Ovis aries: one gene and its partner. The protein of the gene in region 1 interacts with the protein of each later gene in a pairwise test. Links are inferred from orthologs where the notes say so. Each region holds a gene or a part of one and is shown on either strand. Other genes may lie near its edges.

Region 1 (6,272 bases):
AGAGCTGATGTGTTCCTTCACCTGGCATACCCTTTTTGAAAGTTTTTTTTATAACTTGTCTTTAAAACCAAATTTGTGGCAAAACCTCCCTCCCTTGACCTCACACCCGCCTCTATCTGTTCCCCTGTTTCTCCACTTTGCTTTATTCCCGGTTTTCACAAGTATTATCTGTACAGGCTGTCTCTACTCACTGAGCAGTTTTCTCTTCCAGCTCATGACCAGGTCTGCTCTTGTCAAGGTCATTGTTCACCTACCTCCCCATGGCCAGATCCAGCAGGCATATCTGTTTTTATCTCACTCACAGCAACACACAGCAGAGCAAACCAAGCCTGCCTTCTTGAAACTCTCCTCTGGACTTCTCTGATATTTCCTCCTACCCTACTGGTTATTTGTCCTTCTCAGGAGACTTTGCTGAAGCCTCCATCTCTGTCTGAACCATACATGTTGGTGTTACTCAGAGCTCAATACTAATGCTCTTTTCTCCCCCAGGGGATTTCTGTCCATTGCCATGATTTTCAGAATCCTCTAGATGACTGCTGCAGAAGGTGATAATCACTGACACCTTCTGCCAGTCACTGTCCATAGTGTTACATGTAATACTCTTTTAATTCTCACACCAACCTTAAGAGGTATGTACTACTGTCTCCATTTTACAAATGAAGAAACTGAGGTACAGAGATTAAAGTCACCTTTTAGCAAGTGACAGAGTTGACATTCAGCCTTGGATAGGTGGGCCCCTAAGCCCATGTGTTAACCTGTGTGCAGTCCATGTACTGCAGTGACGCACAGCTCTGTATCACTAGACTGTACCTTTCCCCTTCAGACCCTTACTATACGTTCAGCAGCCCACTTATTATTTACTTGCATTTGTTAAAGATATCTCAGCTCTTCATCAGCATCTCCTCTACCACTATGAAAAACTATTCATCTCAGAAAATGATACCGTCATCTACCTAGTTATGTAAGCCAGAGACCCAGAGTCCTTGAGTCTGCGTTCCCTTCCTCCTCACAATGAGTTCATCAACAAGCCATGTTGGTTCTGCCACCATATCAGAATCTCTTAAATCGTTTGACTGCCACCATCCTGGTCTTGGCCACCAGCACCTACTTCCACTATTCCATTTTCTATAGATCAAGAATAATATTCTTAAAATGTAGGATTATATCACTTCCCAGCTCTTTAAGGGCTCCATTGTAAATAGGAAAAACTCTACACCAGGGGTGTGCTTGCATCAGTAGTTTTTAACCTGGATGAAACTTCTATTTCCCTTACCCACTGATAGACATTTGAATGTGTGTGGAAGAATTTTGGTTGTCAAGGTGGTTGGGAGTGTTACATTTAGTGAGTGGGGGCACACTGAAGAGAATCTGGCTGCTAAGACAGAGAAGCACTGCTCTCGTCTGCTAATCCTGTCGACTCCTAGCTTTCCTACTTGGGTAGGTAGTGTTGCCATTGAACAACAGGGAGGAAAGTCTGAGGAGAATACTTCTGGGTGGGCAAAGCGATGAATTCTCTCCCTAGATAGTAGTTTGAGGTGGTTTTGAGATATTCAGTCAGAGATACACAGTACCCATTGAGTGTATTAAGGCGTGATCTAGCTTAGAGGCACATAGTTAGCAACCGTTTCCACAAACATGGAGATCCTAATGGCAGGTGTTGGAGACTCACCAAGAAGAATGGTGGTTGAACTGAGAAGTGTGTCTGGAGGGGAGCTCCAGGGTTGACAGACGTTTAAGAGTCTGGCACTGGTATTTGGTTGTCTCCTTGTTTAATAGTGTATCTTGTATCAAAGCTAGTTGGATAGTTTTTATTTTTATTGATTGATAAGCAAATGTATGTGTCATATATTCATTGTTTAGCCTCCAAGTTGAATGATTTGGCATTTGTCAGCCCTTTAGGTAGGCCCTGGAATAGAAAATTGTTCTAGGGAATTTGTTTTACAATTTAGACCGGTTTGTGAGACCCAAGAACCTGTGCTTTGTATCTGTGTTGGTGTCTGTCCTGCCTAATGGGGACTGTGATTGAGGGTCATGGACATTCTCTGTCCTTTTGTCTGCACAGTTCAGCTCTCAGACCATGGAGAATGGGACTGCTCTTTGGAGGTGGGAAGCTCAGACATTGCTTCCTGTCTTCAGAAAATGTCCTTATGAGCCAAAGCAGTATTATTAAGAAGAAACATGATGATTCTCAGCCATGACTGGACATTAGAATAACCAAGAGAGCTTTTAAAAGTACTGACTGCAGGCCGCCAGCTTAGACCAAGTAAATCAGGGCCCCTAGGGACAAGGCCCAGACATGGATATTTTTTAAAAGCAGCCCAGATGATTTTAAGGTGCAACCAAGTTTAACAGTCTGGACTCTTGGTACAGAAAGTGTAGTCTGAAGACCAGCTCCCTTCCTTGGGGGTTTCTTAGCAATGCAGAATCTCAGGTCCCATCTGAGATCTTTCTAATCGGAATCCACGTTTTAATAAAATTTATTTGCACATTGTAGTTGATGAGCAGTGCTTTTTGCCAGTAGCTCTGGGCAGTGACTAAACATTAGAATTGCCTTTTTACATGGGAAGATTTTAAAAAGACTGATACCTCTTTAAAAAGAGATTCTGGGGTGGAGCTCAGGTATTGGTGTTTTAAAATAAGAGAGTCAAAAGTACAGTTAAGATTAAGAAGCTTTGTACTAGCGTTTGCTGTCTCTGAAGTAAAGAACAGGACTCCAAAGTTTAGGAGAGCAAGCAGAAGAGCAGCTTTTTAGTTAAAAGAGTTATAGCATTTTTCTGGCTGTTTTGTCAAACGACCTATTGACACGTTTTGATGATTTCTCTCTCATAGGCTCAAACTGTCCAGGTTGCTGAAGTTGAACCCCAGTCACAGCCACAGCCTTCACCAGAACTTCTGCTTCCAAATTCTCTGAAGCCAGAAGAAGGGCTTGAAGTGTGGAAAAACTGGGCACAGACCAAGAATGCTGAGCTTGAGAAGGATGCTCAGAACAGACTGGCACCCATTGGGAGTAAGTGTTCTGGAGGGCAGGGGGGTTGGACTGTGTGTGAAATGCAGTGGCACTGAAGCAGCAGGAGCACGGATGGCAGGAAAGTGTATCTCTTGGCTCTGGGCATGTGGGCGCTCCATCTGAAATAGTGTGCTGGATCCAAGACAAGAGGCAGGCTGGACCTGCTATAAACGAGCAGGATTTGTGGGGTGTGCCCAAGATCAGAGACTTCTGGGAGGAGATAGGAGCTGGTGAGTGTTCTTAGGGCGCCTCTTACTTAGCATTATCCTCATATACTTCCTCGTATTACAGAGGGTGGGTTTTGTGTTTTTGCTTTCATTTCGTGGCCCTAATAATTGGGGGATATGTGAGATGGGACGGGAACCCTTTTAGTAACAGGGCAAACAGGATTATTGTCTTTGTAGGTTAGTTTTGATCACAGATTCAAGTGATTGTTTTCACCCCAGCGCCTTGATGGGTGGTGGTGTCTGCTCTGTAACCTCCTTCCAGGGATATGAGAAACCAGTAAGGAAATGACTGTTGCCAGGACCCTCACTGACCTTTGGGACTTATGTTGTAGGGCGTCAGTTGCTACGATTCCAGGAAGATCTCATCTCCTCTGCTGTGGCTGAGTTGAATTATGGGCTCTGTCTGATGACACGGGAAGCTCGAAATGGAGAAGGTGACCCCTATGACCCAGATGTGCTGTACTACATTTTCCTGTGTATTCAAAAGGTAGGGAACCGAGCTGCGTAGGAACCTGTTTGCCTTGTGTTCCCATTGGGTATTTGCTGCGTAGTCAAATTAGTAATATGTCAAAAGTGGTAACAGTAAAGATACTCTCTTCCAACTATATAATGAGGTTTTAAATGTACATTTTTTAAAAGTTGGAAATGTTTTTAAATGTACATTTTATTTTTAAATTGGAAAAGATCTACATGTTCACTTTAGAAAATCAGATAATAAAATAATCCCTCAATCTAGAGAAATGTTTGTTAAAATATATGATATATTACATTAGAGACTTTTTAAAAAAAATTATGAAACATTTATGTAACACTTTTTGTTAAAGTAAACATCTAGTTTTCAGAAAAGCAATTTTTCCAGAACAGTCTGGTGCTGACATATAGTTCATTTTCTCATTGTTTCCTGCATTAATGCAAAATAATTATTTGAAAGAGTCTAGCTAAAATATACAACTGTAGTTAGGTTTTCAGGATATCTAAGATGAAGATGAACAGGGAGATTCATTTTAGGACCAGCAGTTTCAGAGACCAGATGGGGATTTCCTGGTGTTTGAATGCTATTGTAGAGAAGCCCGTGGTGTGATGGAAGAACACTTGCTGACTGGGACTCACCCTGTTGCTTGGGCCCGAGAAAAACCCATCTCCCATTTTGTTAGTCTGTTTTAGCAGTCACTGGGAGCACTGGGTGAATTAGTGTATGTGCTTTGTCTCATTCCATGCTCTCTCACTCATGCAAGGCAGGCATAGTCATCTCCAGTTACACACAAGGACACTGAGCCCCCAAAGTTACAAGACTCAAATGAGTTACATAACTTACACCGTAGCTGGTAAGAGACTGGCCCTGGAGCCTGCATCATGCTTTTTTGCTACCATAAGACAGTGCCTTGCTTGGGTGAAGTAGCATTCATGAAATCTGCTCCATTGGCCAACTCTCAAGAGTGTTGTGAGAGTTAGTTCCCATCCTGAAGTATGCTGTGGAAGTGCCGCGCACTGGGCGGTTTTGACTCAGTGTGCTGGTTGGTTAATGGGGGACGAACGGGTAGGGAGATGTGAGGGTACTGCTCGTAATTGTTTGCTTCCCTCAGCATCTTGTCAAGAGTCTACCAACAGCTTTTATTGATTATTTTCCTTTTAGTATCTTTTTGAGAACGGACGGGTTGATGACATTTTCTCCGATCTTTATTATGTTCGATTCACGGAGTGGCTGCATGAAGTTCTGAAGGACGTTCAGCCCCGAGTCACTCCACTTGGTAAGAATCTTCCTAGTCCTTGGATGTCTTTTGAACCTGGGTTTAAAAAAGATAAGCTGCTTGTGTGGCTTGCTGTGATAATAGCATGTGGGTGAGGAGGCTGTAAATCGCAGGCCCCAGCGTCGGTCTCTGTGCTGCTTGGCTCAGTATGGAGGGGCATGGCTCACCAGAGCTGTTTATTATAATTTTTTAAAATAATATATTCTTTAAGAGCAGTTTTAGGTTTACAGGAAAACTAAGTGGAATATACAAGGAATTCCATGTATTCCATCACACTGTGTCTCCCCTGTTATTAGTATCTTGTATTAGTGTAGTATATTTGTTAACATCGAGGAGCCAGTATTTGATACCTTGTTGTTAACTTAAGTCTGTAGTTTACATTAGAGTTCTGTTGTATATTTTGTGGCTTTTGACAGTGTATAATATGTACCTACAATTCAGTATCACATACAAGTTTTGCTGCCCTCAGATCCCCAGGGTTCCACTTAATTCGTCCCTCCCTTTATCCCCCTGAATCTCTGGCAACCTCTGATCTGTTTTACTGTCTCCATAGTTTTGCCTTATTCAGAATGTCATATAGTTAGAATACTTTAGTATTAATTTCTTTCACTTAGCAATATACGTTTAATGTTCCTGCATGTCTTTTCATGGCTTGATAGCTCATTTCTTTTTATTGCTGAGTAGTAGTCCATTTTATGAATGTGCCACAGTTTGTTTATCTGTTCACCAATTAAAGGACATTTTGGTTGCTTCCATGTTTTGGCAGTTTATAAATAAAGCAGCTGTAAACACTGTGTGCAGGTCTTTGGTGAAAGAACAGACAGATCCATGGGACAGAGTATAGAGTCCAGAAGTAAAGCCCCATGAGTGTAATGAATTTATCTTTGACTAAGGGGCAAAGGCAGTTAAATGGAGAAAGGATAGTCCTTTTTTCTTTTTCTCTGTTTTTTGGCTTTACTCTGCGGCTCATGGGATCTTAGTTCCCTGACCAGGGATTCAACCCGGGCCATGTAGTGAAAGTGTCGAGTCCTAACCACTGAACCTCCAGGAAATTCCCAGGATGGTCTTTTCAAGTAACACTGCTGGAACAGCTGGACAACCACACATTGAAAAAAAAAAAAAAAGAATCATAGACCCAAATGTAAAACTATAAAACTCCTAGAAGGTAAAATAGAAACTCTAGGTGACGTTAGGTCTGGTGGTAACTTTCTAGGTACAACATAAAAAGAATAATGTATGAAAGGAAAAAAATTGGTAAGTTGGACTTTATTAAAAATTAAAAAGCAAAAA
Region 2 (6,272 bases), on another chromosome or scaffold:
GGGGAGAAGGGGGGTGGCCAGGGGAGGCGCCCTCATGGCGCAGCAGTCAGGGCTTCTCCTGTGCTGTTGGCAGGGGGCAGTGCTCGGGGCCTGTGAACAGGAGATAAAGAGTTCAGGCAGAGGGTTTTCTCTCACTAACCGTGGATTTGTGTGTTTGTTCAGCTGGTGGCTCTGATAAGCCCCATTCTGTGAGATAAAAGCCAAGCAACCATGAGGCGGGGCCTGGGGAGGGGTGTCATAAAGGGGCCTGCCTTCTCTGTCCCAAGGCCTGGGGTTACTCCCTCCCTTCCCCAGGGAGCCTCGACAGGGAAGGGGGTCAGGCACCGGGGTGTCATGCTCCTTGGGGTGCCAGCCTGGGGTCGAGCTCCTGGTCCCTAGGGCCTGTCCAGAGCAGGCCCCAGCCCGAGGCCACAGCTCCCCAGAGTGCCCATGGCTTCAGGGAGCTGGCCTGGCGGGCTCTTGCCTCTGGGTTGGGGGGCATCTCCTCGCCCTCCACAGGAGCCTGTCCACCAGCGGCCCAGTGGCCCCCTCTCGCCGTGTGCCCACCTCCAAGCTGACTGAGTGATCGAGGGCCTGCCCCATCTCTCCCCTTACTGTCCTCTGAGGCCCGCGTCACCTCATTGGGGCAGGGGTCTAGGCGGTAAACTAACTGAGGCTCTGGGTCTGGGTCTGGCCTGAGGAGGGGCGCTCAGCCACACTGCGCAGCTCACGGGCGGCAGCAGGCTCGTGCCTCTCTGCCCTTTTTGCTCTGCACGGGCCAGGAGGGGGCAGGGGCGCCGCCTGGGCAAGACAGTGGAGCCCCAGCCCCAGCTGCCCCGCTGGCCGGGCCGGCGCCCCTGCCCTCGAGCCCGGGCGCAGGCTTCCAGCGTCCCTGCCTTTTGTCCCGGAGCCGGGCCGCGCTCGCCGGGGGCGGGCGGCAGGGGCAGTGCGGGGCGCCGGCGGGGCCGCCAGCCGTAAGATGGCTGCCAAGGGCTAAGATGGCTGCCAGCAGCGCCCGGAGCACCGCCTGCAGGCGCGTGGCAGCGGGCCTCGCGCGCCGGTCCCCGCTCCTGCCTGCTCCCTTACATGGCGCTAATGGTAATAACAGCAGTAACGTTTCAGGGCAGCGTCCTGGTTCAGAAGGATTTCCTGTCTGTCGCGCTCTCCTGGAGCCCCATTTGTCTCTGCCTCTGTCGCTGGCCCACCTCCATCTCTTTGTCAGGTTCTCTCGTCTTTCTGTCCCCGGGCCGGGTGTGCGCATGCGCGTGGTTTTCTGTCTCCACCTGGCCACGTTTGAAGGGCTGAGACCACTCTTAATAGGATGGCCTCCTACCATCCCCCTCTACTCCACTGTCCCTGGCCTGGAGGGCTCTGTGGGGACTGAGTTGGTCCTGGGACAAGTAGGACAAAGCCTTTGCAGCAACGCCTTGACCGTGTGCCCCTCGCTGGGCTCCACACGCCGGTCCTGCAGCTGTGCTCTTTCTGGCTGTGAATCTGGGCAAGGACAGCCCTGAGAGACATTAGGCTTGGGGCACTGGTCCACGGGGGCCCTAAGGTGGGCCACCTACTGCCTCAACCCCTTGCCTGCTCCCTCCTGGACCAGCTAGGGCTTGAATCAGACCCAGAGAGCTGGGAATGAGCTGAGGAGAGAGCAACAAGAAAATCCACATGCAGAGAGAGGCTGCCCTTCCCCAGGGTGTGGGAGGAAGTCCCACGGGCTCTCTCCAAAGCAGAGTGCCACCACGACAAAGAAGTGGCCTGAGATGGAATTTGCCATCCCTAAAAGCGTTGCTAGGGTGGGTGCAAACGGAGGTGTGGAAGGACACGCCCCAAACACAAGGGGGTGAGGGGTCCTGTTCGCTTGTCAACCTCCATTTTCTTGATTTGTGACAGGATTCATTATTATTACCATTTGGAATTTTTAAAAAGTAGAGGCTGGCTAAAAAGGTACTCCGCTGATGGTCCAGTGGTTGAGTCTGCCTTCCAGTGCAGGGGGTGCAGGTTGGATCCCCAGATGGGGAACTAAGATCCCAGGGGAACTATGATGCCAGGAAACTAACTTCATATGCTGCAACAAAGGTTCCGCGTTCCACAACCAAGACCCAACACAGCCAAATAAATACGTTAAAAAAAAAAAAGTGAAACAAGATAAAGGATGGGGGAGATGGGGCCTGAAACCATCCTGGGGGCAGCCTGTCTTTTTCCCACCGGCCACATGGATGCAAGAGGCCGGGAGCTTGGCTGAGCCATCATTGGGCCTTAGCTCTGAGAAGGCCCCAACAACTGGAGCTCTTCCTTCTTTCCCAAGTGGCTGCAGGATCCCCCCACTTCTATTTCTTGGGCCCACATCACTCTTCAGGAACCTCCTTGCTATTCACTCCCCAATGTGAGCGGTCTGACCGCAAGTTTGGTAGAGGATGGCCTCCGTGGCGACTGGGCCGGTTGTGGGGTGGCGGGTGAGACCCAGGAGGCAGGGTCACTCCAAAGAGTGGAGCGGAGCCCTGGCCAATGGCACGGCCCAGTTTTCCGAAGCCACCCCATGTGGTCCCCCCATGAGCAGCTGATCCTTTACTGAATGCCTGCCTTTCTCCTGCCCCACAACCTGCCCTGGCCCCCCTCCGCCACCCTCTCGCCAGCTGTCGTGCCCAGGCAAGCATTCTGGAGGTCCCCGTTGTGCCCCTGGCACACAAAGCTTCGAGGACCTGGGGGGCAGGGGCGGGGGGCTTTCCCAAGCTCAGCAAAATATTCACACACACACTCCACCCTGCCCCCAGTCCTCTGTGAGCTCCCACCGCACAATGGGCCCTTGTCTCAGGGCTCCCTCCGAGCAGCTGTGGCACTGGGGCATGAGACAGCCCAGACAGGCTGGCACAGAGCGGGCGACAGCATCAAGGCAGATCTCCCCCCTCCGAGTTGCCAGGCACTGCCTGTATGCATAAAGGTGAGGTGGGGGTGGCGCAGGCAGGCAGCATTGGCTCTAATTAATGAAGGGAGGGAAAGGGCTGCTCCCTCTGGAGCTTGAGTGGGGTAGAGAACGGGGGACCCCTTGGGTCCAAACCAGCTGTGCAAAGGGACAGTCGGGGGCTTCTCTCCCGGGCGCCTCCTTGCCCTGACTCTTGGCCAGGGCTGTTCACTCATGGGCTGCTCACCCCCAGGGCACTTCAGGCGGTGTTTGGAGACTGGTTTTTGGTTGTCACAACTGGGGTGCTGCTGGCATCTAGTGGGAGAAGGCCAGAGATGCTGCCCAGCACCCTGCAGTCTGCAGGGCCTCACCACAGCAGCAGCCATTCTTTCTCTCCTGGCCTCCCTGGGCTGCTCAGGAAGGGAGTGGGAGAGAAGGTGTCCATAGGGCTAGAGGGGCAGCTGCTTGCCTGGTGAGCGTGGGGCACTTTCTTGACCCATCCCTACCCTTTCTGTCTCCCGCAGAATCCGGACAATCAGATAGTTCAAACCAGCAAGGAGATGCGGACATCAAACCACTGCCCAACGGTCAGTGCCCCCTGCCCTCCTGCCTGAACCCAGCCTCCCTGGCCTGCTGTGTCCACCACAGCGTCCAACCTGTACCCTTCTCTGCCCTCCCGGGCCAGGGTGGGCCTGCCCCTGCCAACCGCTTCACTCAGCTGTCCCTTGACTGAACAGAGGCTGCTGTTCCGTAGGGGAGGGCACTCATGGGGGCATACCCCACATCCATGGAGATCTAAGGGCCTCTGAGGGCCAGCCTGGAGCTGGGACATGGGTCATGGGATGGAACAAGCTGAGGGTGGGGAGGGATCGGGAGAGACAGGCAGACAGCCCCTCCTGGCTGTGCCTCGACTTGCTCACCTGCCCTTTTCCCTCCTCAGGGCACTTAAGTTTCCAGGACTGTTTTGTGACTTCCGGGGTCTGGAATGTGACGGAGCTGGTGAGAGTATCACAGAGTGAGTCCTTCCTTCTTCTGGGCCAGGGTTGGGTCCGCAGGGATGAGGGTGAGGAGGTGGGACTTGGACCCCATGGAGTCCCCCACTGATGGGGTCTCAGGTCGGGGGGGAGGCAGGCAGACTTCCTGGGACATGCTTGGCCTCATTGGCACCGGGCTGGGTGGGATGGAGGCATTGGAGAGCCCCACCTCTGACCTCCACTGCTATGGAGGAAAAAAAAAATCATAACCAAGGAATCTTCCCAACAAGCTTCAGCCAGGAGGAGGTTTCCTCAGCAGCCTTCACAGTGAACTCACCCCAGGGCTTCCGGGGAGCTGCTCCCAGCAACGAAACAGGCACCCATGCTTTCCAGACCTCATCCCACTCTCCCTTCTTCCCAGCTCCTGTTGCAACAGCATCAGGGCCCAACTTCTCGCTGGCAGACCTGGAGAGTCCCAGCTACTACAATATCAACCAGGTGACCCTGGGGCGGCGGTCCATCACCTCCCCTCCCTCCACCAGGTGAGTCCCACGCCCCGGCCTCCCTCAGCCCCGAGACGCCTCAGGTGCTCTGGGCAGCATACTTCAGCACACCATCCTCTGTGGAGGGCGCTGGCTCCAGAGCCAGGGCCTGCTCTGCTGCCCACCCCCTGAGCTTTGCGCTGGCCTCAGGGACACAAGCTCAAGCCAGGCCATGGCTCTGCCAGGAAGGTGCTCCCTGTGGGGACTGGGGAAGGCCTCTCTCCTGGGGGTGTGACCTTTGAACCCAGACAAAGAGGGGCTGGTACAGGCCTGGGGTGGGTGCTCCAGGCAGAGAGAGCAGCCTCCATCCCAACTGAGGCTGGGCAGGCCAGCAGGACTATCCCACAGTGGGCTTCACAGGCCAGAGGGGTCAAGGAACAGATGTTGGGGACATGTGTTCTAGAAAGACTTCTAGAAGCAGTGTTCGTGGGCAGGACAGTCAGTTCGAGGCTCTCCCACCAGGCTGGAGGGTAGGAGGGCCTGAGCCAGGTGGGGGATCGGCCTAAGAGGAAGGAGTGGAGTTGAGAGCCATTTGGGAGGTAGGCACAGTGGACCCCGGTCAGGCTCAGTCATGCAGGACAGAGTGTGATCCTGTCCTTTTAAAAAAAAAAAAAGCATTTTGGTTCATTGTGAGGTTCAAGTATTCGTTTTGATATGTTAGAATATTACATTAAAATGTTGTGATATTTCCATAGTTAATCAAATTTTAATATAAAATAACATAGTATCACAATGACTGAGTTTCCCGTCAGCCCCTGGTGTTTTGCCGCTGGCCAGCGCCTCACTCACCTCTGGCCGTGGCAGCTGATGGGAAGTAGAAGGTGGCTGAGGAGGCAGCTGAGGGCTTGGCCTGCTTCTTGGGCTTGAGTAGCTGGGTAGATGACAGTGGATGGTCTTGTGGGCTGAGAAGGGGCTCTCAGTCTGACCTGGGCAGAGGGCACACAGCGAGTGCCCTGAGATGCTGCTGACAGCGAGAGCCCGCTCGCCACACGGAGGGCCATCAGTGCAGGCTTCCCGGGTCCGGGTCCCAGTCCAGCCACTCACCTGAGGCCCACCTGACCCCTCTCCTCCTTCCCCAGCACCACCAAGCGCCCCAAGTCCATCGATGACAGTGAGATGGAGAGCCCTGTCGACGACGTCTTCTATCCTGGCACAGGCCGCTCCCCGGCAGCTGGCAGCAGCCAGTCCAGTGGTTGGCCCAACGATGTGGATGCAGGTATGGGCGCCGCCGCAAGGCCCAACCTGGAGTGCAGGCGGCGTGCAGCCTCGTCTCCCCCTCAGTTTCCCTGGCAAGCCTCCCGTGGCGCTTCCTGCTGCCGGTGGCACTGCCTGTCCTCCCCCAGCCCGCTCTTCCAGAGGGCACAGGCCTGGAGAGCAGAGGCGAGCGGGCAGGTTGTCACGCGTGGGCAGTAGGGCCCACCGGTGTGGCAGAAGGAAAGCCCCGGCCCTGAGCCTCTGGTGCCCTGCAAGTGGGGCATGGCTTCCTCTTCAGAGCCTGCTCATCTTCCTCCTCCTCTTGGTGTTTCTTCAGGGAGGTTACCCCCCCTCTACCGTCTTCATGGTTTAAGGCAGTTTCTCAGACTGGGCGTTCTAGAACATTCCAGGGCCACAGCATTGTCTGCGGTGGGGCCGTTTTGCACCCTGTGGGGTATTGGAGTGGCAGCCCTGGCCTCTGCCCACTAGATGCCAGTAGCAAACCTCCTCACTAGGTATGATGGCCAGGAAGGTCTCCGGACATGGCTGTGTCCTGGTGGGGGCAGAATCTTCCTGAGTTGAGAACCGCTGGTCTAAGGAGGGGCCCAGCTTCACAGAGAGGAGCAGAGCCTAGTAGCGAGTGAGCAGAATTGTTGCCAGGCCTCTCAATCCTCTCACCAG

The links. The genes of interacting proteins can lie anywhere in the genome.
Region 2: the proteins of QRICH1 (region 1) and NFIX interact in binary tests that used the Homo sapiens proteins (3 or more experiments, as listed by UniProt). The two-hybrid records come from large-scale screens. The link is inferred for Ovis aries from reciprocal best matches to the Homo sapiens genes QRICH1 and NFIX.

What each region holds. Positions count from the first base shown.
Region 1 is NC_056072.1:50,995,193-51,001,464, forward strand, and holds part of QRICH1 (transcriptional regulator QRICH1), read left to right. Parts: intron 1-2,829; coding exon 2,830-3,007; intron 3,008-3,566; coding exon 3,567-3,721; intron 3,722-4,867; coding exon 4,868-4,982; intron 4,983-6,272. UniProt on the Homo sapiens protein: Transcriptional regulator that acts as a mediator of the integrated stress response (ISR) through transcriptional control of protein homeostasis under conditions of ER stress.
Region 2 is NC_056058.1:10,803,813-10,810,084, reverse strand, and holds part of NFIX (nuclear factor 1 X-type), read left to right. Parts: intron 1-3,405; coding exon 3,406-3,468; intron 3,469-3,821; coding exon 3,822-3,896; intron 3,897-4,276; coding exon 4,277-4,397; intron 4,398-5,476; coding exon 5,477-5,613; intron 5,614-6,272.